7 linked regions of the Rattus norvegicus genome follow. The protein of the gene in region 7 purifies or fractionates together with the protein of the main gene of each other region. This does not show direct contact. Links are inferred from orthologs where the notes say so. Each region holds a gene or a part of one and is shown on either strand. Other genes may lie near its edges. The genes, in order: Atxn3, Foxm1, Dyrk1a, Sp1, Srebf2, Smarca4 and Crebbp.

Region 1 (4,122 bases), on a different chromosome or scaffold from region 7:
CTTAACCTCATAGCCAGTTACCTTCTAAATTGCAATGAATCTCACCTCACAGCTCAAAACAGCTTCTGTAAACTCCAGGCCAGACATCTATTACTCACAAAAGTACCTTATGTTGCACAGACATTTAAACTCATTATTCCCCAAATTAAACCCTTGTCTTCCCTTCCCAAGACCCTGCTCATTCTGCACAGTATTTCTGGTTGGAGTATTACTCCTTCTTTAGGTGGTACCTACAGCAGACACCCACAAATCTTTCCTAACAATAACCCCTTTCACCCCAGTTCCTCACCAAAGTCTTCTGAGTCTGCTTCCTGAAACTTCAAATTGGTCTCTCTCCATTCTCAAATCACTACTGGAGTTCTGACCACCATTGTCTCCTCATTTCTCCCAAAATGCCTTTCAAGTATTCTGTTCCCCAGTGATCTTCTAAAATTCTAATTTGACCCCATGTCTCTAGTTTTGAAAATCTGTAACCTCCTGTAGGTTTTTTGTTTGTTTTGTTTTGTTTTTGGTTGGGAGGTGGCGGGCAGGATCGTCCTAGAAACCCTGGTTACAGGCTGCCACAGTCCAACACAACATACTCCTCCTACCTTCAGGTGCAAGGATTAGGAGAATGAGTCTTTGTACCCAGTTTCTTTGCTGACTTTGAAGAACCTAAAATGGTTCCACCACACAAGATCCGCGCCCAAATAACACTTAATCTTTGTCAATCCCTCCCCCACCCCCGGCGCGAGCCACTCAACATTTTACTGGACTTTTCACTTCCCCATCGACGCTTCCTCCTTCAGATATTGTACATTTATCCTGGGACCTGATACTCATTCCGACAGGCAACTGTGTTGGACACTGTGCTATTCTAATTTCTTAGTGCCTACATTTCTTCATTTGTATAATAATATTACAACATACACACACATCAAAAATGCCGCATTAAATCGCACTTAGAAGTGGACTATTATAAGTCAGCCCTAACTAAATACTAGCTATAGTTTTCACACAAATACTAGGTATTGGGAGAATGCCTTTTTTGGAATGAGGTTTTCAGTGGGAGAGGAGGTATTACACGTAGTTGAGCAGAAAGTACCAAAAAAGGTGGAAATGGAGAAAAAAAAAAGAACCTAAAACCTGGCTGCGAGGATTCTCATCTAGAACCCTAGAATCACAACATTGTCTAGCGTAGAGAAGTTCCTCCGCACAGCAGGCGGCGCCGCAGCATCACACACGCGGCGGGAGGACCAGCGCCGCCCAGGTCACGTGTCCCGTGCTCCCCGGCTCGCGTGCCGCGTGACGTGCGCCCGCAGTAGTGATTGGGTGGCGGGAGGCACGTGGGTAGGGCGGGGCGGGCCGGGGCGGAGGGGTGGGGCCGGGGGCGGAGCTGCTGGAGGGGGCTGCTCCGCGCCGGGGCCGTTGGCTCCAGACAAATAAACATGGAGTCCATCTTCCACGAGAAAGTGAGTGTGGGCGTTCGGTGGGGAGCCGTCCGCGGCTCGGCGGCGGGCGTGGGGAGCAGCGTCGCCGCTTCAGGAACTCAGGCGGGGCCCGAGCGCCCCCATCCCGACTTGGCTGGGTGAGGGGTGCTTCCTGCCTTCCCCCCATGGCACCGTTCATGAAGCCTCCCGCATGCGTCTCCGGCACCCTCACCCTAAAAGACCGGGCGGGTAACCTGGGCATTTCGGGGGGCTTCATCCGGAGGATTAGCGCGGGCGTTTCTTGTTCACTTGCCACGCCTTTTCGGGTTTCTTCTATCTTCTCTCCTGTGGTCTAGTCTAGCGAGACGCCTTTCCACACCTGACGGACCCTTCCCAACTCCACCCACTCCCCCTGACCTATCCTCTGGCAGAACCAACTTTCTCTCTCAACTCAGTTCTATGATGGAATGTCCCATGCATTTAGATCTTGGTGATCTATCCCACGTCCTTCTGCAGTTGTGACCGTGGCTCTCCCATTGAAGGGCCTGACACTTGGGAAGTAAAGTAGGAAATCCCGGAGGGAAGTCGTCATAAGAGTTTTTATTACGGGATGTTTGGGCTGCTCTCCCATTTTTCCGGACCAGGAGGCCAGCTTTGTTTTTAGGTATTATGGATAGATTAGAATCTTTCTACTGTGTGATTTGGCTAGTCTCTTCCTCACCTTAATTCCTAAGTGACTACGCTTTACAGTATTGTGACATCTCGAGAAACTGGTCTATGCTCGCATACAATTATCAAGTCATTTGGGTGTTCCTCGGACAACTTTGGCATGATTCCGTGTTTCATAATCATTTTAGGTTTGGAGAGGGTTGCTAGTTGAGACTATTATTACAGTTGGAGCAAAGGCCTTTGTTTTTATCATTTGTAAAGGAGCATTCATTCACAACGTTTAAAGTCCATGCACGACAAAAGAAAGACAAAAATGCTGTAAATCTAAGGAAGTTGTTAAATGAAAGTGTTCTTAAGAAGACCTTTCATAGTGTTTTTGGAACTGGAACAAGTTAGTTTGTGACAAGATTTCTTGTAGCCCAAGCTGGCCCCAAACTCTCCATCCTACTGTCTCTGCCTCCTGAGTGCTGGCTGGGATTATGACCATGTGCCCTGACTCTGAGTGCGCCACCCCCTCCCCCACTCTTTTGTAATTTTCCAAAGGCTTTGGGATAAAGTCCATTTTAAACATGTTATACTCTTTGGGATAAAATCCATTTTAAACATGTTATACTTTATACACTGTTTTGTGAGACTCCTGCCATGTATTCTTAAAAGAAAAATGCATGTGCTTGTGTGGAGGTCAAGGATGACTTGATAAAGTCTGTCCTCTCTTTCCAACTTGGTGTGGATTCCAGGTGTCTGAGGCTTTGGCAGCAAGCTCCTTTACTCTCTGGGTCATCTTTAGGGTGAATGAAGGAAGAAATGGAAAGGACATGACTTCTAGGTATGGTGAAGGAGAAAGTTTATTAAAGAGATGTGGGAGAGCATAGCCTGGGGCAGACACATTTGGGAGACCCCAGAGTTGTCATGACCCTGAACCACATGGGGAGAGGGAAAGGAAATACAGCAGCCAGGAGCCAAAGGTGCAGAAGTATACCAAAGAGGTTGGGTTACCAAAATACATGAATTACATAGGCAAGGACCACTAGGGGAAGGGCAGCTAGGCCATGGTCTGGAGAGTTCAGGGTAGAGAGTAGGTATACCAGCTATACCCTGGTATAAGTAGGGACTAAGGGATGCTGGGAGAACCTGGAGTTCAGGTCCGCTTTGATATGTTAAATAGGTACCTCTGCCACCTACCATCCTGGGATTGAAGCTCAGCATAGGGCTCTTAAACAATACACTAAAAAATATGTATTTTTTTGCTGGCAGGGGTGGTAGGCCTTTAACCTCACACTTGGAAGGTAGAGGCAGGGGAATCTCTAGTGAGTTCAAGGCCAGCCTAGTCTACAGAGAGAGTTTTAGAACAGCCAGCTCTATACAGAGAAACTGTCATGGAAAACAAACAAAAAAATTGTATTGGTGTTTACTGTTGTGTATGTCTGTGCACTGTGTGTCTGTTGCCCACTAAAGCCAGAAGATTCCCTGGAACTGGAGTAACAGGCTTGTGAGTAGCTGTGTGGGTGTTAGGAGTTGAACCGAGGTCATCTGGAAAGCCAGCCTGTACTCTTAACTGCTGAGCCACCTCTCCATCTCCCTCAATACCTTCTTTTTTTTTTTTTTTCTTTTTCTTTTTCTTTTTTCTTTTTTTTTTTGGAGCTGGGGACCGAACCAGGGCCATGCACTTGCTAGGCAAGCACTCTACCACTGAGCTAAATCCCCAACCCCCCTCAATACCTTCTTGACAATATTGATTGTTCCTCATTTGAGCAGATTTCAGTGAAGGTAACTACTGAATCAGTATATCCAAAATGCTAGGCTAACAAAGACTTACTCAGGCCAAGGATATGCCTCACCTGAATAGTGCTTGCTGTGTAAGCATGAAAACCAGAGTTCAGATCCCAGTGTGTGTTTGTATCCCCAGTACTTGAGGCAGGGAACCGAGCCAGGTGGGTTTCTGGTTGCTGACCAGCCAGTCTAGCTGAAATCAGTGAGTTCTAGGCTCAGTGAAAGACTATCTCACAAAATAAGGTGGAGCGCAACTGAGGAAGGCATTTGACTT
Region 2 (3,500 bases), on a different chromosome or scaffold from region 7:
TACCACAAGCTCGGGCCACAGGTAGCAGCGCTTCTGCCATATTTGATCCTCAGATTGGCATGTTCTGTCTCTGAGATAGGATCTTGCTGGGTAACAGACTGGCTTTGAACTCTATCTTCCTGCTTCACCTTCCTGCGTTCCAGGCATATGGCATGCACCACTGTGTCCAGGCACACAGATGGCTTTTCCTGCTGCTGCTGCTGCTCTCGCACCTCTAGTGTTTCTCTGGGGACTGTGCAGTGGAGTCCTCTCCTCTCTCCTGATGCCGAAGGGCATGATGCACTTCTGAAAAACACAGGTTCTTGGCTGCCCAGCTTAGCCTGCCTCATTTTCCACACAGGTGATGAGGCAAGAGTTACAGGTGTTTGTTGTTCTGGCCACTGATTGGGGGGTAGGGGATGGGGGAGTTATGAATCTTTATCCGCTGAGGTTAGCTCTGCAGTGTGGCATACCAGGAAGGGAGTGCCAACAGGTGACATTGCTAGGACCTGAACACGATCTTTATTAAACATAGTGGGAGATACCCTGGCCTTTCCCAACTCCAAGAGCAATGTTTCCAAAGCCAACTGAATTGATAGCTGCTTATCTGTCGCTTTCAGAACTCTATTCGTCACAACCTTTCTCTCCATGACATGTTTGTTCGAGAAACATCTGCCAATGGCAAGGTCTCCTTCTGGACCATTCACCCAAGTGCTAATCGCTACTTGACATTGGACCAAGTGTTTAAGGTGAGTCCTTGTTTCATCTGGAGAGGCAGTTGGTGATTACTGCGCCTTCTGTAAAGGAGTGGTGTTCCTTCTGATGTTCTCTGACTGAGGGAGAGCTAGAAGCCAGTTACCCAGTTAATAACTTGCATGATTCCCTTAACCGAGGCCTGCTGACAGATACGAAGTGATACTCCTTGTACTAGACCAGAGAGTAAAGAAAACTGTTCTGGTCTAAATAGAGGAGTCTTTCTCTAATTCCCTGTAAGTAGACACTTGTTACAATGCAGCTTCCAGGTCTCTTGCTTGGGGTTCTGAACGGAGAATCTGGGACAGGTCTAGTAATTTGGTGTGGCAGAGCAGGGAGTCTATGTGCAAGTGCACAAACCAGGCATGTGTGGAGGCCAGAGGAAGACCTTGGGTGTCCTTCTCTATCACTCTGTGTCCTTCGGGTGACTCTCTTGTGGAACCTGGAGCTATACTGGGGTCAGCAAACCCCTTCAATCCGCCTATCTCCACCCCCACTCCTCATAGCCCTGGGGTTATAGATGCATGCAAGGCCAGCTCTGGCCTCTTTTTAATGTAGGTCCTGGGGTCTGAGCTGAGATCCTTTTGCTTGGTACAACAAGCTCTCTTCCCACTGACTCGTCTCTCCAGCTTTGTAGTTTGTATTTTCCACCTTGCTCCAAAGAAGCCCTTCTTTAAGTCTAGAGGCCAGAAATGGAGCCATAAGAACATGTTTTCAGAAAAAAAGTTGTTGTTTTGGGGACTTCTAGGTACCCATAAGGATGCTATTGCTGTACTGTTTGTTCTTCTGGAAGGGAATGTTTCTCCATGGTGTCCCTTGGCACCCATCAAATAGGTTTCTTCCTAGTCTGGGTAGATTGACCACAGTTGTGGTAACTTCATTTCATTTCTCTCCCTCAATGCCTGGCCGCCACCAGCCACTGGAACCAGGGTCTCCACAATCGCCCGAGCACTTGGAATCAGTAAGATTCTTTTCCTCTGGCTCGGGGCTTGGCCTTCTTTCCCTTCACTGCTCAGCATGGCTTTAGTGGGCAGAGAAGCTGTGACATGGGGAGGGGACTATGTTTGACCCTGTGGCTGCTAACCCTGAACACAGTACCACAAAGGTGTGCTGAGCAGAGCAAAGTGGGCACTGCAAGACCCACCATTGCAAGGGCAGATGCAAGGCATGGGCCCTGCCGCAGGGGCAGCAGCCTGTTCTCTCAGCGTACGTGGCTTGTGTTTGTCTCTCAGATGGCTAAGTGCATATTTCCCTGGGGGTGGTGAGTACCATGGGTCAGGTGTAGCACTGTCCTGCCCTCCCTCGTGTCTGCTGTTGTCCACCTTTCCCCTAAGCATGGCTTGATAGATGTACACCCGCATCCATCACTCAAACCAGCTGGTCTTTCTGGGTTTTTAGACCAGAAAGGTTTCTGCATCAGCTCAGGTTGGTGGGGTTCTGCTTCTCTCCTTACCTTACTAGTCCAGGTTTCTTTCTCTTCCAATAAGCAGCAGCAGAAACGACCCAATCCTGAGCTCCGTAGAAATGTGACCATCAAAACTGAACTCCCACTAGGCGCACGTGAGTATGAGAGTGGGTCTCAGACGCGCCCAATCCTGGTTCTGGGACCTATCTTCAGGTTATGTCTCCAACTCAAAGGGAGTTTGAGTCCATAGTTGAGTAGTGCTCCTGGAGTGGGAAGTAGTAGACCCCTAGCATTGCTACCTCTGATCTCTCCTGCTTCCTCCTAGGGCGAAAGATGAAGCCACTGCTCCCACGGGTTAGCTCATACCTGGTGCCCATCCAGTTCCCGGTGAACCAGTCCCTGGTGTTACAGCCCTCGGTGAAGGTTCCCTTGCCTCTGGCAGCATCTCTTATGAGCTCAGAGCTTGCCCGTCATAGCAAGCGAGTCCGCATTGCACCCAAGGTGCTGCTATCCAACGAAGGGATAGCCCCACTTCCTGCCACAGAACCCATGAAGGAGGAGAAACCCCTGCTTGGAGAAGGGCTATTGCCTTTGCTTCCTATTCAGTCCATTAAGGAAGAAGTAATTCAGCCTGGGGAGGACATACCACACTTAGAGAGGCCTATCAAAGTGGAGAGCCCTCCCTTGGAAGAGTGGCCCTCTCCGTGTGCATCAGTGAAAGAGGAACTGTCCAACTCCTGGGAAGATTCTTCCTGCTCTCCTACCCCAAAGCCCAAGAAGTCCTATTGTGGGCTTAAGTCCCCAACACGGTGTGTCTCAGAAATGCTGGTGACAAAGCGGAGAGAGAAGAGAGAGGTGAGCCGATCTCGGAGGAAGCAGCACCTTCAGCCACCCTGTCTAGATGAGCCTGAACTCTTCTTCTCAGAGGACTCCAGCACATTTCGGCCAGCCATGGAGATCCTGGCAGAGTCTTCAGAGCCTGCACCACAGCTCAGCTGCCCTCAGGAGGAGGGAGGGCCCTTCAAGACCCCCATCAAGGAGACATTGCCTGTCTCCTCCACTCCTAGCAAGTCTGTGCTCTCTAGAGACCCTGAGTCCTGGAGGCTCACACCCCCAGCCAAAGTTGGGGGGTTAGATTTCAGCCCAGTACGAACCCCCCAGGGTGCCTTTGGCCCTCTGCCTGACTCGCTGGGGCTTATGGAGCTGAATACCACACCTCTGAAAAGTGTTCCCCTCTTCGACTCACCCCGGGAGCTCCTTAACTCAGAAGCCTTTGACCTTGCCTCTGATCCCTTTAGCAGTTCTCCACCACCACATTTGGAAGCCAAGCCAGGCTCCCCCGAGCTGCAGGTCCCCAGCCTTT
Region 3 (3,500 bases), on a different chromosome or scaffold from region 7:
TTTAAAATTAGGAAATAATCTGCTTTCTGAGAAGCATCAGAACCCTTTTTTTTATTCTTAGGACTAAATAAAAAATTTTTTACATTAAAAAATAGTTGAGCTAGAAGTGGCAGTACTACTTTTAAACCCGGAACTAGAGAGACAAAGGCAGAAAGATATGAGACTTTGACTCCAGCCTGGTCTATATACTGAGTTCTAGGGCGTCCAGGGTCATACAGTGAGACTCTGTCTCAATAATAAAAATAAAAAACCCCAATAGTTGAGTAAGTTGTTTTATTTAAAAAGTAAAAGTGTGTGTATGTGTGTAAAAAGCACATATACAGACATACATTACACAGATGCATACACATATACATGCATATACACATTACCTATACACACATATGTTGATTTAAGTAAGAAAGAGTGAAAGTCAAACTTCCCCTTCATCAGCAGTCATTTTATTTTTGAGGGAAGAAAGCGGTTGCCATCTCGTTGTTCTGTGCATGGTCAGAAACACTGTGAGGAGGGTACAGGAGCTCGTTTCAAAGAATGGGGTTAGGACCTTGTGACAAAGTAGATGGTCTCTTGAGGAGAAGCAGCAAGAGTGAGGTAGATTGCAGGATGGAAGAATGTAAGGTGTAAAGTTGTTAGTGAAACTGATGATGACTTGTTTTGTTTTGTAGGTTGTGAAAGCATATGACAGAGTGGAACAAGAATGGGTCGCCATTAAAATCATCAAGAACAAGAAGGCGTTTCTGAATCAAGCGCAGATAGAAGTGCGGCTGCTTGAGCTCATGAACAAACATGACACTGAGATGAAGTACTACATAGGTAAAGGCGGGCAGTGAGTGGGCCTCTGGGGTGCTTTACAGTGTGAAGCCACAGACAGCAGTGTCTGCTGTGTTGGTTGTTTCCTAAGTCACAACTCACAGGTGCCATTGTTTGCTCTAATGTGTCTGTTTAGGGAGCCGCTGTCGGGTGACTTGGTAGTGTACTGTGAGTGCCTAAGACTTTTTAGAACATATGTCTGAACTGCGATCCTCCCAGACTTAGTGAGAAGTGGATTCTTGTAGCATAGGGAGCACGTCACAGCATAGTCCCCCTATCGCCCCTGAGCTTTTCCTCTGGCCTCCCCACAGGAAGGTGACTTCAGCCTTCAGTCAGAGAAAACCTCCTTTCAGTCGTAAGCATGGATGGTCTTGGGGCACTCTGTCTGGGTCTGACCCTGCTCCTGTGCAGTCCTGTCTCAGTGTGTATGCCAGTGTCATGCCGTCTCCCACAGGAAACAGCTGTCCGCCAAGGAATGAAGACTGGAAACTTTAGAGCCAATCGGTTTATGGATAAAACATCTTCTAATTCTATCCTTCATACTTTTTAAAGATTTATTTCTGTGTGTGTACATACACCTGTGTACAAATGTCTTCAGAGGCTGAAGGCATCCAGTCCCTTGAGCTGAAGTTGTAGAGAGGTTCTTGGACTCAAACCCTCGGGTGCTGTGGGAGAAAAACATTCACTGTCACCTACTGAGCCATCTCATCTCTCCATCCCACAGCTGTTGGGTTTTAAAAATCAAATCTATTATATCAGTGCTGATAAAACACTATTGTTTTATTCACTAGTAAGAAAAACTGCCACCAAGTTTACAGTACTTATGTGACATAGCTCACAGCTGCATGTGACTCGGCTCTGGAGGGTTCGATGCCTTCTTGCCTCCACAGTTACCTGCACTTTCTCTCTCTCTCTCTCTCTCTCTCTCTCTCTCTCTCTCTCTCTCTCTCTCTCACACACACACACACACACACACACACACACACACACACACACACACTCTAGAACATCTAAACTGTCAGTGTCTTCTGCTGTCTGATGGAGAATGGGCTGTCAGCAGAGCTGATGACCTGTAGGCACGGGCAGCACCATGTGTGCTTTCAGAAGTTTTTTTCTTTCTTTCTTTCTTTTTTTTTTCTGGAGCTGAGGACTGAACCCAGGGCCTTGAGCTTGCTAGGCAAGTGCTCTACCACTGAGCTAAATCCCCAACCCCACAAGGATTCTTTCTTATTTATAGATTAGGGCATTGTTGAGAAGTGTGTGTGGACTGCCTGTTAGGCTGACATTATGGGCTGTTTCATCATGTAAATTTATATCTTTGCCTCCCTTTTATAATAGTGATACCTAAACTAATGACTTCCATTGTTCCCAAAGTTTAGTTTCATTGTACTGTCGTAATCACTTCCAAATAGTGTAAATGAATAAAAACTGCACTACACACAAATGCATTGTTTCCATAGCAGATGTTGAAGGGCCCAATTTACCACAAATTTTGTGGCCATTTTAATAATTAGCTGCTGTAATAGATCACTGAGCATTGTTAATACTGAGTGCAGAGCATGTCGTAACCACATTGAAGCTGATAAGTAAGGCTCTAGTGGAAAGTGCAGTGTCATAGGCAAAACTGGGTTTCAAGTAATGGGCATCATTAAAAGAAGCCATTAGACTCATGGTTTCGTCCACGGCTTTGTGCTCCCAGGCCTATGTGACTGAGCTTCAGACACTTTACGCTGTGTCATTGGTGGGTTTCCGCATCCCTGACCGGGAAGGAGCTTGAGCCATTCCTCTTTGCCTCTCTGGTGTCCTCCCTGACAACTGTGGGGACCATCCTGATGATACTGGATGTGTCTGAAAAGCTTTCCTCATCACACGGGCGGTCTCATTTAGTGTAGAGCAAGCCCAGTTCTGTTGAAGGGGCTTCAAAGGACGCCTGAGTTTATAGTGGTCTTTGGACACACCTCCTCGCCTTCCTATGCTGTGCCTTCTGTTTTGAGTGTTCATGTTCCCTTATGTCCCTGGATATGGGAAATTCATAGTGACGCAGAACAAAACTGAGGGCTCTGTTTTGGATGGCACCAGCAACAGAAGTACTTTAGACACAGAAGTGTTGCTTGACCTGTACTCTAAATTTAAGATTCCTTTTTTGATGGTACAATTTTTAATTTTAAGACAGTTGGTAGATAAAATATATTGTGGTGACCTTGAGATTTAACTTTTAAAAAGCACCTGCCATAGAGTGTAACTTATTTTAGGTGGCACAAAAAGTTGTACAAACTACATTTTATTTAACTCCTGTTTATTTGTATATTAATGAATGTGTGCCTGCCTTGAGGCTCAGGCTGGGGTGAAGGTTCATGGTGTGTTCGTGATTGCGTTTATGGTCATCGTACCAGGGGGTGTCAGAGCTCAGTTCCTTCTTGTCTTAATTGAAATCTGTGAGTCTTTCCTCTCCTTCCCTTACACTCATTTCTTCAGAGAATATTTTCTGGAATATTTAATGACAGTGGTCCATTTAAAAGTTTCATTTCATTTATTGGGAAAATATCCTACCAACTCTTCATGTTTTTCATGTCCAGTCAAAAAGATGAACAGATATATCTGTGTTTGAGTTTTCTTGGATGTTTTTCCTGCTAGTACAGCACAGCCTCTCAGTAAATGAGTGGCTCACATGAATAGAGGATCTCTGTCAG
Region 4 (3,482 bases), on a different chromosome or scaffold from region 7:
GTAAGTCTTAGTGACAGGTATGACAGCACACACACCTTTAATCCTACCTAGCATTATGCAAGCAGAGGCAGGTGAATCTCTAAGTTCCAGGACAGCCTGGTGTACACAGAGAGACTCTTTCTCAAAGACAAACAAGCAGAGGCTGGAGAGATGGCTCAGTGGTTAAGAGCACTGGCTGCTCTTTCAGAGGTCCTGAGTTCAATTCCCAGCAACCACATGGTGGCTCACAACCATCTGTAATGGGATCTGATGCCCTCTTCTGGTGTGTCTGAAGACAGCCACAGTGTACTTATTTCAATCTTTACACTTCTTGGTTCCTTCATTTCTATCTCCAGAGTAATAAATCATTATGTTCTCATTCTTAGGGGCTCTGGAGATCCTGGCAAAAAGAAACAGCACATTTGTCATATCCAAGGATGCGGCAAAGTATATGGCAAAACCTCACATCTCCGTGCACACTTGCGCTGGCATACAGGGGAGAGGCCATTCATGTGTAATTGGTCATACTGTGGGAAGCGCTTTACTCGTTCGGATGAGCTTCAGAGACATAAACGTACACATACAGGTGAGTAAGACCCGAGGGAAAAGGGAAAGCAATAGATAAGAAAAGATGTAATATGCCCATGAAGCTAACTGAAATCCCTGAACAACGTATATGTGAAACTGAATATGTCCCCAAGAATATTTGAAGTAGTCTGGAAGGTTTTTAATAAGGAGCTCAGTTTCAAGAGGGATTTTGAAAGACATACATCAACCTCAACTTTGTTTTGGCTGGGTTTTTTTTTTTTTTTTTGGCTAAGTTATCTTTTTTCTTTTTTTCTTTAAATCTAGGAGAGAAGAAATTTGCCTGCCCTGAGTGCCCTAAGCGTTTCATGAGGAGCGATCATCTGTCAAAGCATATCAAGACCCACCAGAACAAAAAGGGAGGCCCAGGTGTAGCCTTGAGCGTGGGCACATTGCCCCTGGACAGTGGGGCAGGTTCAGAAGGCAGTGGCACTGCCACTCCTTCAGCCCTTATTACCACCAATATGGTAGCCATGGAGGCCATCTGTCCAGAGGGTATTGCCCGTCTTGCCAACAGTGGCATCAACGTCATGCAGGTGACAGAGCTGCAGTCCATTAATATCAGTGGCAATGGTTTCTGAGATTAGACGCCCAGGGCCAGAGACATATGGGCCAATACCCACCAAGCCTGGGATGCAAGGTAGCATGGGTCCAAGAGACATGTGGAAGAGAGAGCCATGAGGCATTCATGTGCTTGGTGATAGGAAGAATTGGGAGATGGTACAAAAGAAGAGATGGGATCGTGGCACCCATCTATGTCACTGGTGACTCCTTGAAAATGGAGAATATTAGTGAAAATTCTGTTGGTGCCACTTTTTGATCAGCATTTATCTCATCCCAGGTTCTTCTTACCCTTCTTACCCAGCCTCCTCTTCCTGTTTTTCCCTCTTAGCTCTCCCATGATGGATCCCCCCCTTTCCTAAAGCCATCATGCCTTGATAAATATATATGATCATTGAAATACTTTTTAACAAAAACAGATTCTATATTATATATATATATATTAAAAAATATATAGAGATGCTTTCACAGGGGCTGGCTGGGAGGAGGAAAAAGACCATTCTGTGACCAAAATACCTTGGTCTTTTTTTCTTTTTCTTTTTTTTTATATTGCCTTATTTCTCAATGGCTGAGCCTTATCATGACACATCAAGCTTTCCTATAAATGTTGTCCTGGCATCCCACCAGAGTAAGCATTCATACGCTCTGCTTCAGTTCATATATACATATATAATGTGTCTTCTTCCTTAATTTTGTTACTTTATTTGGGATCAGCTCCTTGCACTCTTTCCTGACTCAGTCCTTTTTGTCTCACACCCTTTTCTTACATGATCATTTCCTGTGTTGTTTTTGACAGTGATCCCTGGATTAGGCACTTCTGTTAATATTTTAAAGACGTTAGTTCCAGCAACGGAGTGGAAAAGCCTTGAAGTGTAGCTATGGAGGGAGTGTTCAAATACTACTGACGCAGGCACATTAGTGCTGGAGAGTCAAAGCCATCTCCCTTTATTAGTTGTTCTACACATCAAAAGTCAGAAGTATTTCTGTGGAATTGTGTAAGAGGCCCTTTGAAGGAGATACACTGTCAAAATGCTCAAATATAGGCAGCAGCTTTCAGTATGAAAAAGATGTTCTCAGAAAAGGAAATAACTCAATAGTCTTGGGTTCAGAAGTTAGTGGAATTATTCGGATTTCAGTATCATTGTCTTCCAGATAACTCTCAGCCTCACAGAATGGCCTTCTGAGTTCACACTCTGAAAGGAAGTACACTTCCTCTTTTGAACATTTCTGTAGTTCCTTCGTATTAATGTTTTAATGTTTAGGAGCATCAGCCAGGGAATCTGTTTGGACTTTCCATTCTGTAGAGTGCAAAACTTGTGCCAGTGGCAAAAGTGGTTCTTTTAAAAAAAAAAAAAAAGTCCCCCTTAACTCTTCCTTACATGTACTTGGGTGGTTCCTAAGGGAAAGGGAAGCACACAATCATGGGAACGATAGCCCAGAACAAAAAGAAATCTTGTCTTACCACTGTGGATTTTAGGAGAAATTGGGAGAAATTATCCTGCTTTCTCTATGGCCTGATTCCAGAAGAGACTGATCCAAAAATTATATCGGCAGGGAAACTCAGTGCATTTTACACTGAGACTTAAATGCAACCAGAATTGTCCTCAAGGCCCAGCCATTAAAGCATTGTCTCTCTTGACTTTCTGCTATCTTGTCAGAGAGCTTTTCACTGTGAGGAAGTATGAAAGTGGTTGAGTGTATGTGTGGAATCTATTAGGTTGGGGATAGGTTTTCTGTTAGCCAATATTTAAAGAGACCTGCAATAAAAAATTACCCTGATCTGATAGAGAATCTAAAATGTTTGTGTATGACTGCGTGTGAATGTGTTTGTGCCTGTATATATCTACATGCAGATGAGAACTTATATTTGAAATTGTTGGAAAATAAATTCAGATCGAAATGCCTTTCAGGTCCATTATCTAGAAATTGGTCATAAAACTTGGGTATGTTCCTAAGGTCAGTTCTCTGCTTGTGTTAAATTGGTTAACAATTATGGGGTGGGGGGATATCCTAGTGCACTTTCTAAAAAAAGAAACTATTTTTGTGTTTGAAAATGAAATCAACATCCAAATCTATAGTGGATTCCTTATTCTAACTTCTTTATCTTGGCTACAAATAGCTTATAGTGTTATTATACATGTTACGTAAATTCCATCTAAACTAGGTTCTTGTTAAGTTTACGGTGTTGTTAGCCTGAAATACTAACATTAGTTTATTCCATTTGGTCCTTTCTGTGCAGACTTAATACTGTTATCAAGACTCAGGAAATATTTCAAGGGACTTTCCCCAAATCACATGTTATTAATGTTGAAGTAAACGTTACCTGTCCTTAGCCATCATCACACCTTTTGTTCCTA
Region 5 (4,300 bases), on a different chromosome or scaffold from region 7:
TTTAAATGAATAGGTATTTTGACCTAGCTTCCCTTTTCTGGGCTTTTCTTGGACAATCAAACCCTCTGAACTTAAGTGTTGGTGGCATCTGCCCTGCTACCAACCAACAGCCATCATTAGTATGTTTTGGGTTGTTTCTTGTCCCCTATCAGAGATAGCTGCTTTCTCGTGTCTCCCCCAATAAATCTCTCATGTGAGGCTTGTTGTGCAGTGTGACTTGGTGGTATTCCTAGGCTCCTAACTACCAGGATGTCTTTCCCTTTCAGAGCAGCAACAGTGTAACTGGAGAAACCTTCACTCTGAGCTTAAACCCAGAAGTTAAGAGCTGTTTGCTTGCCACAGACATCAAATAAATGTGAAAGTTATAACTGTGGTCCTATGCTGTTTTGAAGATGACAAAACAGGCTTATCAACAAACAGTTGCTTAGCCAGCCCAGGAGCACAAGGTAGATTATTGAATCCGCAAGTTTCCCCACAGAGCCTGTGCTTTCTTTAGGTCTGACCCCTAAAACAACTGCCTCACGCACAGGAAGGTCTTCCTATTTTGTCATGAAAACCTTTTTTCCTGTCAATACACACTTAAGTCCTTTTTAAAATGCCCATTCCATCATTTTTTTTAATGATGCCCTGATATTCCACAGTTTGGAGGTAATTTGTGTACCTGATGCCTTACTGTGCTGCTGTTTTCCCGTTACAGAGAACTTTGTGATGAATACATGTACTTAACTTTACTAGCATTTCTTTGGACGCTAATCCTTGTTTCCTCGGATACATTCTGGGAAGTGTGCACCTTTGTGTCCAGTGTGACCGACACCTGTAAGATGTAGTGAGGTGACTGCAGGAGTGGGGTCTCACCTCAAGAGCCCATTGGTGGGCTTTGGCAAATGACCTCGTCTGAAGGCCTGGAGGTTTATGAGGTTTTCCAAGATTGAGGGCCAGTTGTAAAATGTTCACAACACTCAGGCGATTCAAGAACGTGTTAAGTCTCGGATGGGACAAGTGTGACTTAAGGTCTGGATAGTCTATCCCTGAATGTTGGGGTACCAAGATTCTACCCAGGGCTAGGGGGAGGGAAAGAGACAACTGGGGAGATGACGTAATGTGCTCGCAGAGTAAAGGGGGCGGTAGTAGGAGGTAGCGCTGGACAGCATTGTGTTTAACCCTTCTACTTCCGGACTCTTGGCAAAGTTGCTCCTGGAACTGATCCAACGGAAAAGTAGCGTCTCCTTTAAACCAGAGGAAGGCTGGGACGAGGACCGGGAGGCTACTCTCCGCTGGCGCTTGGAAGCCGTGAGGGGCGGAGTCTCGCTATGCAAATCTGAGCTGCTGATCGATGACGCGCCATCACCCCATGAGCCGCTTCGCGCTCCGATTGGCTAATGCAGGCCTGGTCCCATTGACAACAAACATGGGGGCGCGGAGGCTCGGGGCGGGGCTGCAGTGGGCGCGGCCCGGGGCGGGGGAATTCTGCCCCGCCCCTTCCGTGGAGTCGGGGCGCAGCTCAAACATGGCGGCGGTTGGCACCGGGCGGTGAGGCGGTACCAGGTGGGGGCTGTCGGGTGTCATGGGCGGTGGCGGCGGTACCGCCTCCGCGTCTCCCTGAGCTGGACCTCACGGGGGACTCTGCGCCGAACTGGGCGATGGATGAGAACAGCGAGCTGGGCGGTCTGGAGACCATGGAGACCCTCACGGAGCTGGGCGATGAGCTGACTCTCGGGGACATCGACGGTGAGTGGCGGCTGGGTGGGAGTGTGGGGGGCGCGCGGGGAGGAAGGGGTTACGGCGGCGCTCGCGGGTGCGCGTGCGCCCACCCCGCGATCGCCCACCCCGCGATCGCCCCGGCGTGCGCGGGAAGGAACCCGCGGACCGGGCTGCCGGTGAGGTTCCCAGTTCTTCTTGCTCCAGAGTCTGAGCCCGGGTCGTGACTCAGGGCTCCAGGTGGCTGAGGAGTCCTGGCGCCGCGGGGCCTGAAGCGGGGTTGGGGGCGTCGCGAATACTGCCAGAGAAGAAAGCGAGGCGGCCGCCTCCCTCGCGCGCCCACACGCTCTCTGGTTTGTCCGGTCTTCGCCGGCGTCCGGCGTCGCACCTGTCACTCCCTCCCTGGTCACTGGAGCGGCTTCGGGATTTCCCGGACTGCGCTCCGGGCTCGGCTCCCCACGCCCCCGCTCTTTTCGGGATTGACTGACAGCCGGGTCTCCTGGCGCTCTGGAAAACTTTGGGCATCAGCTGCAAAAGCAAGTTACTGATGGAGTGGACAGAGACCGCAGAGTGCGGCGGCCTTGCATGGAGACCCAGGCGCTCCTTCTGTCGCACTGCAAAGGGAGTTGAGCTGCAAGAATTTTGAGTTGTGGCCCCTCGGGTACTGACTAGGGAGCGGGTGGCCTTTGTTTCGGCGGCCTTAACAGCGAAGTGGAAGAACTGGTAGGAGCCCAGGGATCCTCTCTTACAATTCTCTCACTTTTCAGCCACGGGAAAGAAGGTTTGGAGAGGGTCCCAGACTTGCCCGCGGTCATCATGCTGCTTAACAAAACCCAGTTCTTTCTGTTTCTGAGCCAGTATTAGTTTCTTTCCACTCCACCTTTGAGAATTTGAAGTCCAAAGAACAGGCTAGTAATTCTCAGTAGTCGGGCTCTTCTGAAGTTCTCAGTCATTTATTCCTCCCACAATCCCACGGAATAGGTATCACTCAAATTTGCAGGAGGTATTGTCTAAGGTCACTTACTTTAGAGAGTCCAGAACTCCTCCTAAGCAATGACTCAGTTATGGAGTGTTTCTACATCTAGAATCTAGAACCTTGCAGGCATATATGATGGCTACATCCTCACTTTGCAGGTGAAGAAAGAGGTAGAAGGTTCTCTTGTGTAGGCAGAAAGTGACAACAGTTGTTTGAAGAAGGTGTTTGCTGTGTTCCTGTTTTGCTTTTGTAACATTTTTCCCACTTGGTTCGCCCTTACTTCTCATTTTGATCATCCAGTGTGACAAGACCCTGTAATTGAAGTTCCACTTTTTTTTTTTTCTTTTCTTTTCTTTTTTTAGGAGCTGGGGACCGAACCCAGGGCCTTGCGCTTGCTAGGCAAGCACTCTACCACTGAGCTAAATGCCCAACCCTGAAGTTCCACTTAACCACAGATTCTTCCACCAAGTATTGCTAAACACAAAGATAGGTTAACAAGTGGGAGGGGTTACTGCTTGGAACACGGGAGTGGCTAATGTGTTTTGAGCACTCAGGTACAAGACACAGTGTTAAGCACTCACACAGCTTTTCAATTCGTGTCACAGCCCTATCAGATAACGCTGTCAGACTGGCCATCTCCCCACTGTTCATTAGCTTACCCAGAGTTCCCTAGTCAGTAAGAAGTAGGTCTAAAACTGCCTACCAGCAGGGGCACAAGAAAAAAATTCATGTTGTTTTTTTTTTTGTACTTATATTTTATAATGACCTTTATTTGTCTAAATTTTCAACATATTAAATTACCTAGTGGTTAATATTAACCTTATAGATTGCTAAGTCTATGTATAAATAAAATGTATACTCTAGAAACCACAGCAGTAGGTCAGTAGTTTCTTAGGCCTCTGCCTAGTTTGGGAAGTGTTTACTTGCTCCAAGAGCCGGCTTTGGTATCTCAGTTGTAAAATATGGATGGCATTTTAGGACCACGTAAGGTTGCATGTGCACAGGGCAGTAAGTGAAAGTCAGTGAGGAAGCTTCCTTGAAGGCTAGTTTACCTGCAAGATCACACTGAGGAGATAGCCACTGACCTTAAAAGACAAGAAGAACCAGTTGAACAAAGCAAAGGCCAGCGGTCTAGATGGAAGTGTCGCTGAATCCTCTGTGCTCCTGAGCAGGTTACTGAGGGGTGGGGATGGAGGTGGGGCAAACCACCTTTCATTTCCTTCCCACAGTTCTTTGCACCTAGAACAGCACTTGGAACAGTGGGAATGCGCACTATTTGTGGAATGCCTGTCTGAGTACCTGGGGCAGGATATTAAATATTAGGTATAGTTTCCCTGATTGGATTAGAGCAGAGTGAGCAGCCCATGGGCATCTGAGATGAGGAAGAGAGTAGTATGAGTGCACTTTTGTAACTCACAGCCTAGAAATCTCACGGTTCCTTCAGGAGGTCAAAGAACTGTGAGTCCACAGCCAGCGGGGTCTCTTCTTGGTCAGAGAGCTAAAATTCTTGTTTCTTTTGACTAAAATAAATGATTAGGAATATAGTTCCATGGCAGGGCGCTTGCCTGGGGTTTGTAAAGTCCTGGGTTTGATACCTACTACTGCACAGACTATGCAAATGAGCAC
Region 6 (4,300 bases), on a different chromosome or scaffold from region 7:
CAGACTTGGGGGGCAGAGGCAGGTAGGTCTCAGTTTGAGTTCATCCTGGTCTCAAGATCCAGTTCCAGGTCAGCCAAAGCAACACAGACAAACTCTGTCCTGAAAAACAAAAGCAAAAAACCCCCCCAACCAACCAAAAATACCATGTGTTTGCCAGTGTTGATAGCTTGGGTCTGTTTTCCTAGCATTTTGGAGGCAGTGGCAGGGGGATCACTGCCAGCTATTTAATGGCCTGAAACATTCTTTGTTCTACTTTGTGACAGAAAACTGCTTTTTGTTTCTTTGTTTAAAAGTCTCACTTTGTATCCATGGCTGCCCTGAAACCTTACTATGTAGAAGACCAAGCTGGATTGGTACATTCATGCAGCACTCAGGAAGGAAGAAGGAAGATCTCTGAGTTCGAGGCCAGTCTAGTCTTGAGAGCAAGTGCCAGGTCTTAAAGAAACTTGGTCTTGGGGGCTGGAGAGATGGCTCAGTGGTTAAGAGCCCCGACTGCTCTTCCAGAGGTCCTGAGTTCAATTCCCAGCAACCACATGGTGCCTCACAACCATCTGTAAAGAGATCCGATGCCCTCTTCTGGTGTATCTGAAGACAGCTACAGTGTACTTATACATAATAAATGAATAAATCTTAAACAAACAAACAAACAAACAAAACCCCCCAGAGATCCACCTGCTTCTGCCTCCAGAACCCTGCCCCGCTACCACCAAATACTTTTTTTTCTTTTTTTTTTTTTGGAGCTGGGGACCGAACCCAGGACCTAGCAAGCGCTCTACCACTGAGCTAAATCCCCAACCACCACCAAATACTTTTAAAACCAACCAGAGGCCTGGAATCTCCACATTTGGACAGAATTATACGCTCATTTCTCCAAAGCTAATGGCTTTCTTCGAAATCATAAGGAAAATTGTGACCATTGCTGTTTCTACCTCACACCCTGTGCTTTTACTTATTCATCTGGTTTATGAACCAGAGGATGGCTAGTAGCCGATGGCAGCTCAATAAATATTTGGAAAGCTAATTACTGGGCCTCAACAGGTTCTGCAGGAAATGTGGCCAGGACAGAGCCTTGCAGAGCAGGCAGGGCCGTGCCAGAGCCAGGATCAAAGCGTTTCCCAGGCCTGCCCTTACCCCCGCGTGGGTTCTGTCCCGTCCTTGGGCAGTCTGGCCACCTCTCGGCTTCACTTTCCTCCCAGGGTGCTCATTTCCGAGCCTAAGAACTTCCCTTTCATCATTACTATCTCCCATCTGGACGACCCAGTACCCTCCCCCAACATCTAAGCGTCGCCGCAGTGCCGCCACCTCTGCGCATGCCCTTCGGCTTGAGGCCCAATTTCGTGTCTTGAACATAAGTGTGCGCTTGCGCAGAGCCGCCCAGAGCCCCCCAATATGGGCGGTGCACCAGGATCTCGTGCGGCCTCTGGACCCGCCCATCTTCTCACTACCTCAAAGGACCAGTGCGCATGCGCACAACGAATGGCTGAGCATGCGCACAGAGAGCGGAAGGGTGGGCTGGCGCGCGCACGAGGCCGGACGGGCAGCGGAAGCAGGGGAAGTGGACTGGGTAGAAAGGGAGGCGGGGGCGCGCATAGCGGGCGCGCGGGCTGCGTGTGTGCTGGGGGGGGCGGCCAGCCGAAGCCGAGCGGGCACGCGCGCGAGGCTTTCCCACTAGCTTGGCAGCGGCGGCGACGGCTTCTTTGTTTCGTGAGGAGAAGCGAGACGCCCACTCTGTCCCCGACCCCTCGTGGAGGGTTGGGGGCGGCGCCAGGAAGGTTACGGCGCCGGTACCTCCAGGTAAGGAATGGAGACTCCCGGGCGGAACGAGACTCCCGGGGCTTGGGGAAGACGGTTTGAATGAAGCCGAGGCGCCGGGAGGGGGAGGGGGCAGCTGGGCGACCAGAGCGGGGTCGGGGTACGGCGGCGCCTGAGGGTCAAGAAGCCTTGCGCGCGCTGCTCAGGCCGCAGTGCAGCGAGACCGCGGCTGCTTCCAGGCTCTGTGGCCGGCGAGGCGGGTGACTCTGGCCTGTGTGAAGGCCGCGCGCGCGTTCTCGTGGGGTCTTGGGACAAAGCTCCTTCCTTTTGGCGTTCCAGAGATCCAGGTCCCCCCCACTTTAATTTCTGTGAATCTTAACTTTGAACAGTGGCTAGGTGTCTTGGGCTTCTCTGGCCTCGTTTGTGCGATTCTAATGCCCTGTGGTCGGGCGTCGGGAGCAACATTTTACCTCAGATATTGATGCCCTGTGTAGCTTGGGCACAGTCATGAGCCCTCTTCGGTCCTCAGACCTCACTTTTTTTTTTTTTTTACTTTTTGATAAATTTCATTATTGCAGATTTTAAATTTCTTCCGTGGCTTCAAAATGTTTGCCTAAAAAGTGAAAGATGCCTGGGAACGTTTGCTCACGGCCGCATTGTTTTTCTTTTGAGTCTCTTGGCTCTTCCCAGTTTTTCAGATAGGGCTTTTTATTTTAAAACCTCGAAGGCAATTGTTTTGTGCGGGTCGGAGGGGCATCTTCTTGATCCTCTTTACCTCCAGTGACTCCTCAGGAACTGGAAACAAATTTTTTGTTTGAATTGACAGACAGGCTTTGAGTTTGATGCCCAGCGTTGTCTGTCAGCTAGCTGTGTGGCCTTAGGCGAAATCGCTAAATCTCTCCAAACCTCTTGGTTTCCTCCTTTGTACAAGGGAATCACTTTCACTGATAGGATTGGGAAAAAATAGCTCCTGCATCATCATCATCATTCTGATTTTGAAGACAGGATCTTATAACCAAGGCTGCCCTCCACCTTCTTATGTAGACCAGGCTGGGCTTGAATTGCTCATCCTCATCTTCCTGCCTCCATCCACCTCCCAAGTGCTGGGATAGCATATTCAGCCAGGCTTCCTGTACTGTTATTGACTGGTCCAGCAGATAGTTGAATTCCTACTTTGTGTTACATGTCTTAGTAGGGGAATGGGCTGTAATGGAACCATTACTCCTTGGCCTGCATGAGTATTGGTTCATAAAGAAGTACTTGGTTTGTTTTGACCTCCTCCCCTCCCCCTTTCTGGTCTCACTGTGTAGCTTTGGTTGTCCTGAAACTCTGTTATCAGGCTGGCCTCAAACTCACACAGCTCTGCCTGCCTCTGCCCTCTGAGTGCTGGGATTAAACTCTTGCTTAGCCATGCCGTTGGGCCCATTTGTGTTTTGTTTTGTTTTTTAATTAAATAGATTTTATTTGTTTATTTTATGAGTCAGGGTTTCTCTGTGTAGCCCTGACTCTCCTGGTACTTGCTTTGTAGACCAGGCTGGCTTCTAGCTGAACTCAGAGATCTCTCTGCCTCTGCCTCCGCCTCCGGGAGTGCTGGGATTCATTAAAGTGTTGCAGTTCCTTATTTATTTGTGTGTGGAGGTCAGAGAACAACTTTCAGGGGTCAGTTCTCCCCTCTATCATGTGGGTTCCTGGGATTGAACTCAGGTGGTCAGTTTTCTGTGGGGTACTTTACCTGTTGATTCGTTTCTCCTGCCTAAGCTCTAAGTGTGTTGAATTTTTGTGGTGCTGATCAAAGTTGATCCTGTACATGCTAGGGAAATGTTCTACCACAAGCCAGTACCCAAGCATGGTTTTGATCTTTTTATTTTTATGAATGTGGGATATTTTTGTTGTTGTTTGTTCATTTTGGGTGTTGTTGGGCCTGGAATCCATGGCCTTCTGCATGTTAGACATGATATATTCTCCCCAATCATTTAGCCTCACAACCTATCATGTGACAGGACAGAGTGGTTGCCTGAGGGAGCAGTGGTGGGCATAAGTCTAGAAGCTGCATGGAGGAGGACCCTTCATTTACAATTAGGGAAGATGTGTCTCCCCACCCCACACGCTGAGAATGGAATGGTGCCTGCAGAACTGTTGCTCTGTCTGTCTGGTCTGCAACAGTGCAGTTGGAGCAGGCAGTAGTGAGACAGGACAGGAGGGTCCTGGGGAGGATGAACTTGGGCGATTGGTACAAGATCCAAAGCAATAAATATTTGTTGCTGCTGTTTGGCCTTGAACTTTCCAGGCCATTGCTCTTCTAGCCCCAGATGTCACTGCTTTGAAAGTGATGAAGTCACTGGTGAAGTCTGGGGTCCTGGTTTGGTGGTTTGTTTGTGGCTGGATGTGAAAGGTGGTTTTTTTTTTTTTTTTTTTTTTTTGAACTTAAAAATTTTTGTTTAATTTTGTGTGATATATGGAGGTCAGAGGACAACTTTCAGGAGTGGATTTTCTCCTACCACGTGTGTCCTGGAGATTGAATTGCAGGTCATCATATTGGTAGCAGATG
Region 7 (3,500 bases):
GTCCCTTTTTGACCTCAGCTAAGTAGTAAAAGTAGTAGCAGTAGCTTGTAAGACAAGCTTACACATGTTCTACCCTAGTGGAGGTATTGAATAGGAAAGATCAGTTGGGTGTAGTTACTCTTTGGTGCTCCCATTTACACCATCCCATGTCTTCTGAAAATTCATATAAATGAGCAGGTTTTCCCAAAGCAAAGGACTGGGTACCGAACATGCAGGATGGAGCATAGCACTCCTGCCAGTGGAATCCTGGGAGTGGTAGAGAAACTCCTCTGTTGCTTAGATTGTGAATTAACATCCAGGAGAAGTAACCGGACATACAAGTGCCCTGGCCAGGCTGGGAGGATTTCATCCTTAGCCCTCTGGAGGTAGTAGCCTATGGCCCAGGTGCATATGAGGTCTGTGGAACCCCATAGCCGAGGAAATGGGTGTTAGTCTAATAGCTTTATATGTGGTTGCAGGGCAGTCAGGGTGACAGCAAGAATGCCAAGAAAAAGAACAACAAGAAGACCAACAAAAACAAAAGCAGCATTAGCCGCGCCAACAAGAAGAAGCCCAGCATGCCCAATGTTTCCAACGACCTGTCGCAGAAGCTGTATGCTACCATGGAGAAGCACAAGGAGGTAGTGCATAGGCTGGTGGGGGTTCTGAGGGTATTCAGTGCCCAGAGAAACAACAGGCACCTGCCTGCGAGGTTGAGCTTTTCTGTATAAGTCTGGGACAGGAGAAGGTGGAACAATACTTGTTAATATATTGTTTGGCTTGTTATCAGTTAAATTCCATCCCAGGAAACCAGAGCCTCAAGCAGTCCCTAGGTTTGGTTATCCTCCTGTTCCATAGGAAGATGTGGCCTTGCACTGGCACACACTGCTTCTCTGTGGGGATAATACAGCTCCTCCTTTCAGGTCTTCTTTGTGATCCACCTGCATGCTGGGCCTGTCATCAGCACTCAGCCCCCCATCGTGGACCCTGATCCCCTGCTTAGCTGTGACCTCATGGACGGGCGGGATGCCTTCCTCACCCTGGCCAGAGACAAGCACTGGGAGTTCTCTTCCTTACGCCGCTCCAAATGGTCCACTCTGTGCATGCTGGTGGAGCTGCACACACAGGGCCAGGACCGCTTTGTCTATACCTGCAACGAGTGCAAACACCATGTAGAAACACGCTGGCACTGCACTGTGTGTGAGGTAAGCCCTTCCACCTCTCTCCTGGCCTTCCTCCATATGCAACATTGTTCCCTGCAGCATCGGGAATGGATGCAGGTGTTGGCCTCTGTGACCTACATTGTCTGTGCTAACCCTCCCAGGGTGAGGAGTGGCACCCTTGTAATCCCTTTCTTAATCTCTGCTCTTGTCCACCACAGCTACAGGCTATATGCCGAGGCAGCCTGACTGGAAAGAGGCTATGCAAAACTTTAGCTCTACAGGGATTCTGGTGTATTTATCTCTTTCTAGCTTTGCTAAGTGATTAAGGATGCCTTTCACCCTGCTGACAGGTTGGCACTTTTGATTAGGTCCAATGGCAGGATCGCAGAATGTGGTTAGAAGACTTGATGTAAGCCACTGGCAGTTTCACTGCCTCCTGCCCTGTGGGTAGCTTGACTTCACCCTTGTAGAGCTTGTCTTGGACAGGTCAAAGGTTGCTTAGCCCTTCTTCTTTGCTTACCTTTTCAGTTCCTGCCCCCTGTTGTCATCGGCCATATCCCCTCTTATCCTTCTCTATTGTCCGTTTTATAGACAGATAGACTGGCAGGCAGGCAGACAGACAGACACGCACACGCACACGCACAAACACACCCACACCCCTACCCTCTCAATCCTCTTTCTGCTTTACTGATTTTAGGATTTTGTATGTGCTTTCTGTGAGCACAATTTCTAGGCCCAGCCATAGGACGTCATCTTCAAATGTGTATTCTGTGGGTGGGTGTGAGTGTGTTATTTGTAAGTAAACATATTTGTGTATATGAATACAGAGACCAGTGGAGAATTACTCTATAGCTCTTTACCTACCTCATTTCCTTAAGAAAAGAAATGCCACTGAATCTTGAGCTAGGCTGATTGACTGACCAGCGATCCCAGCAGTCCTCTTCGTTCCTCCTTGTCTTGTGCTGCCATTAAAGCTCACAGCCATACCCAGATTTTTGTTTGAATGCTGAGGATTGAGACTCAGGTCCTCTTCCCCACTGAACTATCTCCTAAGCTCCTATCCTTTGGATTTAATGCTTCCTTTTTAGTTTCTACGTTGAAGTATCTCTCAGCCACCAGGGCTTCTGTTGTTGAGGAAGGATCATTTTGATGATGCCTCTCTCCGAGGGATAGTGTCTCACAGTCCACTAACAGTGCTTGGGGGAAATGACCCTAGTGTTCTTAATCCTTGCTGTTAAGTCTAAAGCACATGAAATAAAGAAGGAAGGTAATCGTTAATAACTGGATCAATCATTAATTGGTCCTACAATATGCCCCATGCCTAAGGGTGTCTGCTCGTGCTGTGCCTGTGCTAATGCGGTTTGTTCCTCTTGTCCACAGGACTATGACCTTTGTATCAATTGCTACAACACAAAGAGCCACACCCATAAGATGGTGAAGTGGGGGCTAGGCCTAGATGATGAGGGCAGCAGTCAGGGTGAGCCACAGTCCAAGAGCCCCCAGGAATCCCGGCGTCTCAGCATCCAACGCTGCATCCAGTCCCTGGTGCATGCCTGCCAGTGTCGCAATGCCAACTGCTCGCTGCCATCTTGCCAGAAGATGAAGCGAGTCGTGCAGCACACCAAGGGCTGCAAGCGCAAGACTAATGGAGGCTGCCCAGTGTGTAAGCAGCTCATTGCTCTTTGCTGCTACCACGCCAAACACTGCCAAGAAAATAAATGCCCTGTGCCCTTCTGCCTCAACATCAAACACAAGCTCCGCCAGCAGCAGATCCAGCATCGCCTGCAGCAGGCTCAGCTCATGCGCCGGCGAATGGCAACCATGAACACCCGCAATGTGCCTCAGCAGAGTTTGCCTTCTCCTACCTCAGCACCACCCGGGACTCCTACACAGCAGCCCAGCACACCCCAAACACCACAGCCCCCAGCCCAGCCTCAGCCTTCACCTGTAAACATGTCACCAGCTGGCTTCCCCAGTGTAGCCCGGACTCAGCCCCCCACAATAGTGTCTGCTGGGAAGCCTACCAACCAGGTGCCAGCTCCCCCACCCCCTGCCCAGCCCCCACCTGCAGCAGTGGAAGCAGCCAGGCAAATTGAACGTGAGGCCCAGCAGCAGCAGCACCTGTACCGAGCAAACATCAACAATGGCATGCCCCCAGGGCGTGCAGGTATGGGGACCCCAGGAAGCCAGATGGCTCCTGTGGGCCTGAATGTGCCCCGTCCCAACCAAGTCAGTGGGCCTGTCATGTCTAGCATGCCACCTGGGCAGTGGCAGCAGGCACCCATCCCTCAGCAGCAGCCGATGCCAGGCATGCCCAGGCCTGTAATGTCCATGCAGGCCCAGGCAGCGGTGGCTGGG

What was found.
Region 1: the proteins of Crebbp (region 7) and Atxn3 purify together in Homo sapiens (affinity purification with western blotting; 3 studies listed by BioGRID). This does not show direct contact. The link is inferred for Rattus norvegicus from reciprocal best matches to the Homo sapiens genes CREBBP and ATXN3.
Region 2: the proteins of Crebbp (region 7) and Foxm1 purify together in Homo sapiens (affinity purification with western blotting; 5 studies listed by BioGRID, with this or other methods). This does not show direct contact. The link is inferred for Rattus norvegicus from reciprocal best matches to the Homo sapiens genes CREBBP and FOXM1.
Region 3: the proteins of Crebbp (region 7) and Dyrk1a purify together in Homo sapiens (affinity purification with mass spectrometry; 4 studies listed by BioGRID and IntAct, with this or other methods). This does not show direct contact. The link is inferred for Rattus norvegicus from reciprocal best matches to the Homo sapiens genes CREBBP and DYRK1A.
Region 4: the proteins of Crebbp (region 7) and Sp1 purify together in Homo sapiens (affinity purification with western blotting; 5 studies listed by BioGRID, with this or other methods). This does not show direct contact. The link is inferred for Rattus norvegicus from reciprocal best matches to the Homo sapiens genes CREBBP and SP1.
Region 5: the proteins of Crebbp (region 7) and Srebf2 purify together in Homo sapiens (affinity purification with western blotting; 3 studies listed by BioGRID and IntAct, with this or other methods). This does not show direct contact. The link is inferred for Rattus norvegicus from reciprocal best matches to the Homo sapiens genes CREBBP and SREBF2.
Region 6: the proteins of Crebbp (region 7) and Smarca4 purify together in Homo sapiens (affinity purification with western blotting; 3 studies listed by BioGRID, with this or other methods). This does not show direct contact. The link is inferred for Rattus norvegicus from reciprocal best matches to the Homo sapiens genes CREBBP and SMARCA4.

What each region holds. Positions count from the first base shown.
Region 1 is NC_086024.1:126,869,982-126,874,103, reverse strand, and holds the start of Atxn3 (ataxin-3), read left to right. Parts: upstream 1-1,322; 5' UTR 1,323-1,427; coding exon 1,428-1,451; exon of another isoform or gene 1,452-1,567; intron 1,568-1,601; exon of another isoform or gene 1,602-2,073; intron 2,074-2,100; exon of another isoform or gene 2,101-2,904; intron 2,905-4,122. UniProt on the Homo sapiens protein: Deubiquitinating enzyme involved in protein homeostasis maintenance, transcription, cytoskeleton regulation, myogenesis and degradation of misfolded chaperone substrates.
Region 2 is NC_086022.1:163,332,128-163,335,627, forward strand, and holds part of Foxm1 (forkhead box protein M1), read left to right. Parts: coding exon of another isoform or gene 1-21; intron 22-599; coding exon 600-728; intron 729-1,648; coding exon 1,649-1,693; intron 1,694-2,219; coding exon of another isoform or gene 2,220-2,222; coding exon 2,223-2,292; intron 2,293-2,462; coding exon 2,463-3,500. UniProt on the Homo sapiens protein: Transcription factor regulating the expression of cell cycle genes essential for DNA replication and mitosis. Plays a role in the control of cell proliferation. Also plays a role in DNA break repair, participating in the DNA damage checkpoint response.
Region 3 is NC_086029.1:47,451,802-47,455,301, forward strand, and holds part of Dyrk1a (dual specificity tyrosine-phosphorylation-regulated kinase 1A), read left to right. Parts: intron 1-665; coding exon 666-813; intron 814-3,500. UniProt on the Homo sapiens protein: Dual-specificity kinase which possesses both serine/threonine and tyrosine kinase activities. Exhibits a substrate preference for proline at position P+1 and arginine at position P-3.
Region 4 is NC_086025.1:135,444,050-135,447,531, forward strand, and holds part of Sp1 (transcription factor Sp1), read left to right. Parts: intron 1-365; coding exon 366-565; intron 566-831; coding exon 832-1,145; 3' UTR 1,146-3,482. UniProt on the Homo sapiens protein: Transcription factor that can activate or repress transcription in response to physiological and pathological stimuli.
Region 5 is NC_086025.1:115,541,807-115,546,106, forward strand, and holds the start of Srebf2 (sterol regulatory element-binding protein 2), read left to right. Parts: upstream 1-1,500; 5' UTR 1,501-1,640; coding exon 1,641-1,728; intron 1,729-4,300.
Region 6 is NC_086026.1:28,442,319-28,446,618, forward strand, and holds the start of Smarca4 (transcription activator BRG1), read left to right. Parts: upstream 1-1,500; 5' UTR 1,501-1,794; intron 1,795-1,933; exon of another isoform or gene 1,934-2,099; intron 2,100-2,196; exon of another isoform or gene 2,197-4,300. UniProt on the Homo sapiens protein: ATPase involved in transcriptional activation and repression of select genes by chromatin remodeling (alteration of DNA-nucleosome topology).
Region 7 is NC_086028.1:11,960,840-11,964,339, forward strand, and holds part of Crebbp (histone lysine acetyltransferase CREBBP), read left to right. Parts: intron 1-458; coding exon 459-620; intron 621-902; coding exon 903-1,184; intron 1,185-2,522; coding exon 2,523-3,500. UniProt on the Homo sapiens protein: Acetylates histones, giving a specific tag for transcriptional activation. Mediates acetylation of histone H3 at 'Lys-18' and 'Lys-27' (H3K18ac and H3K27ac, respectively).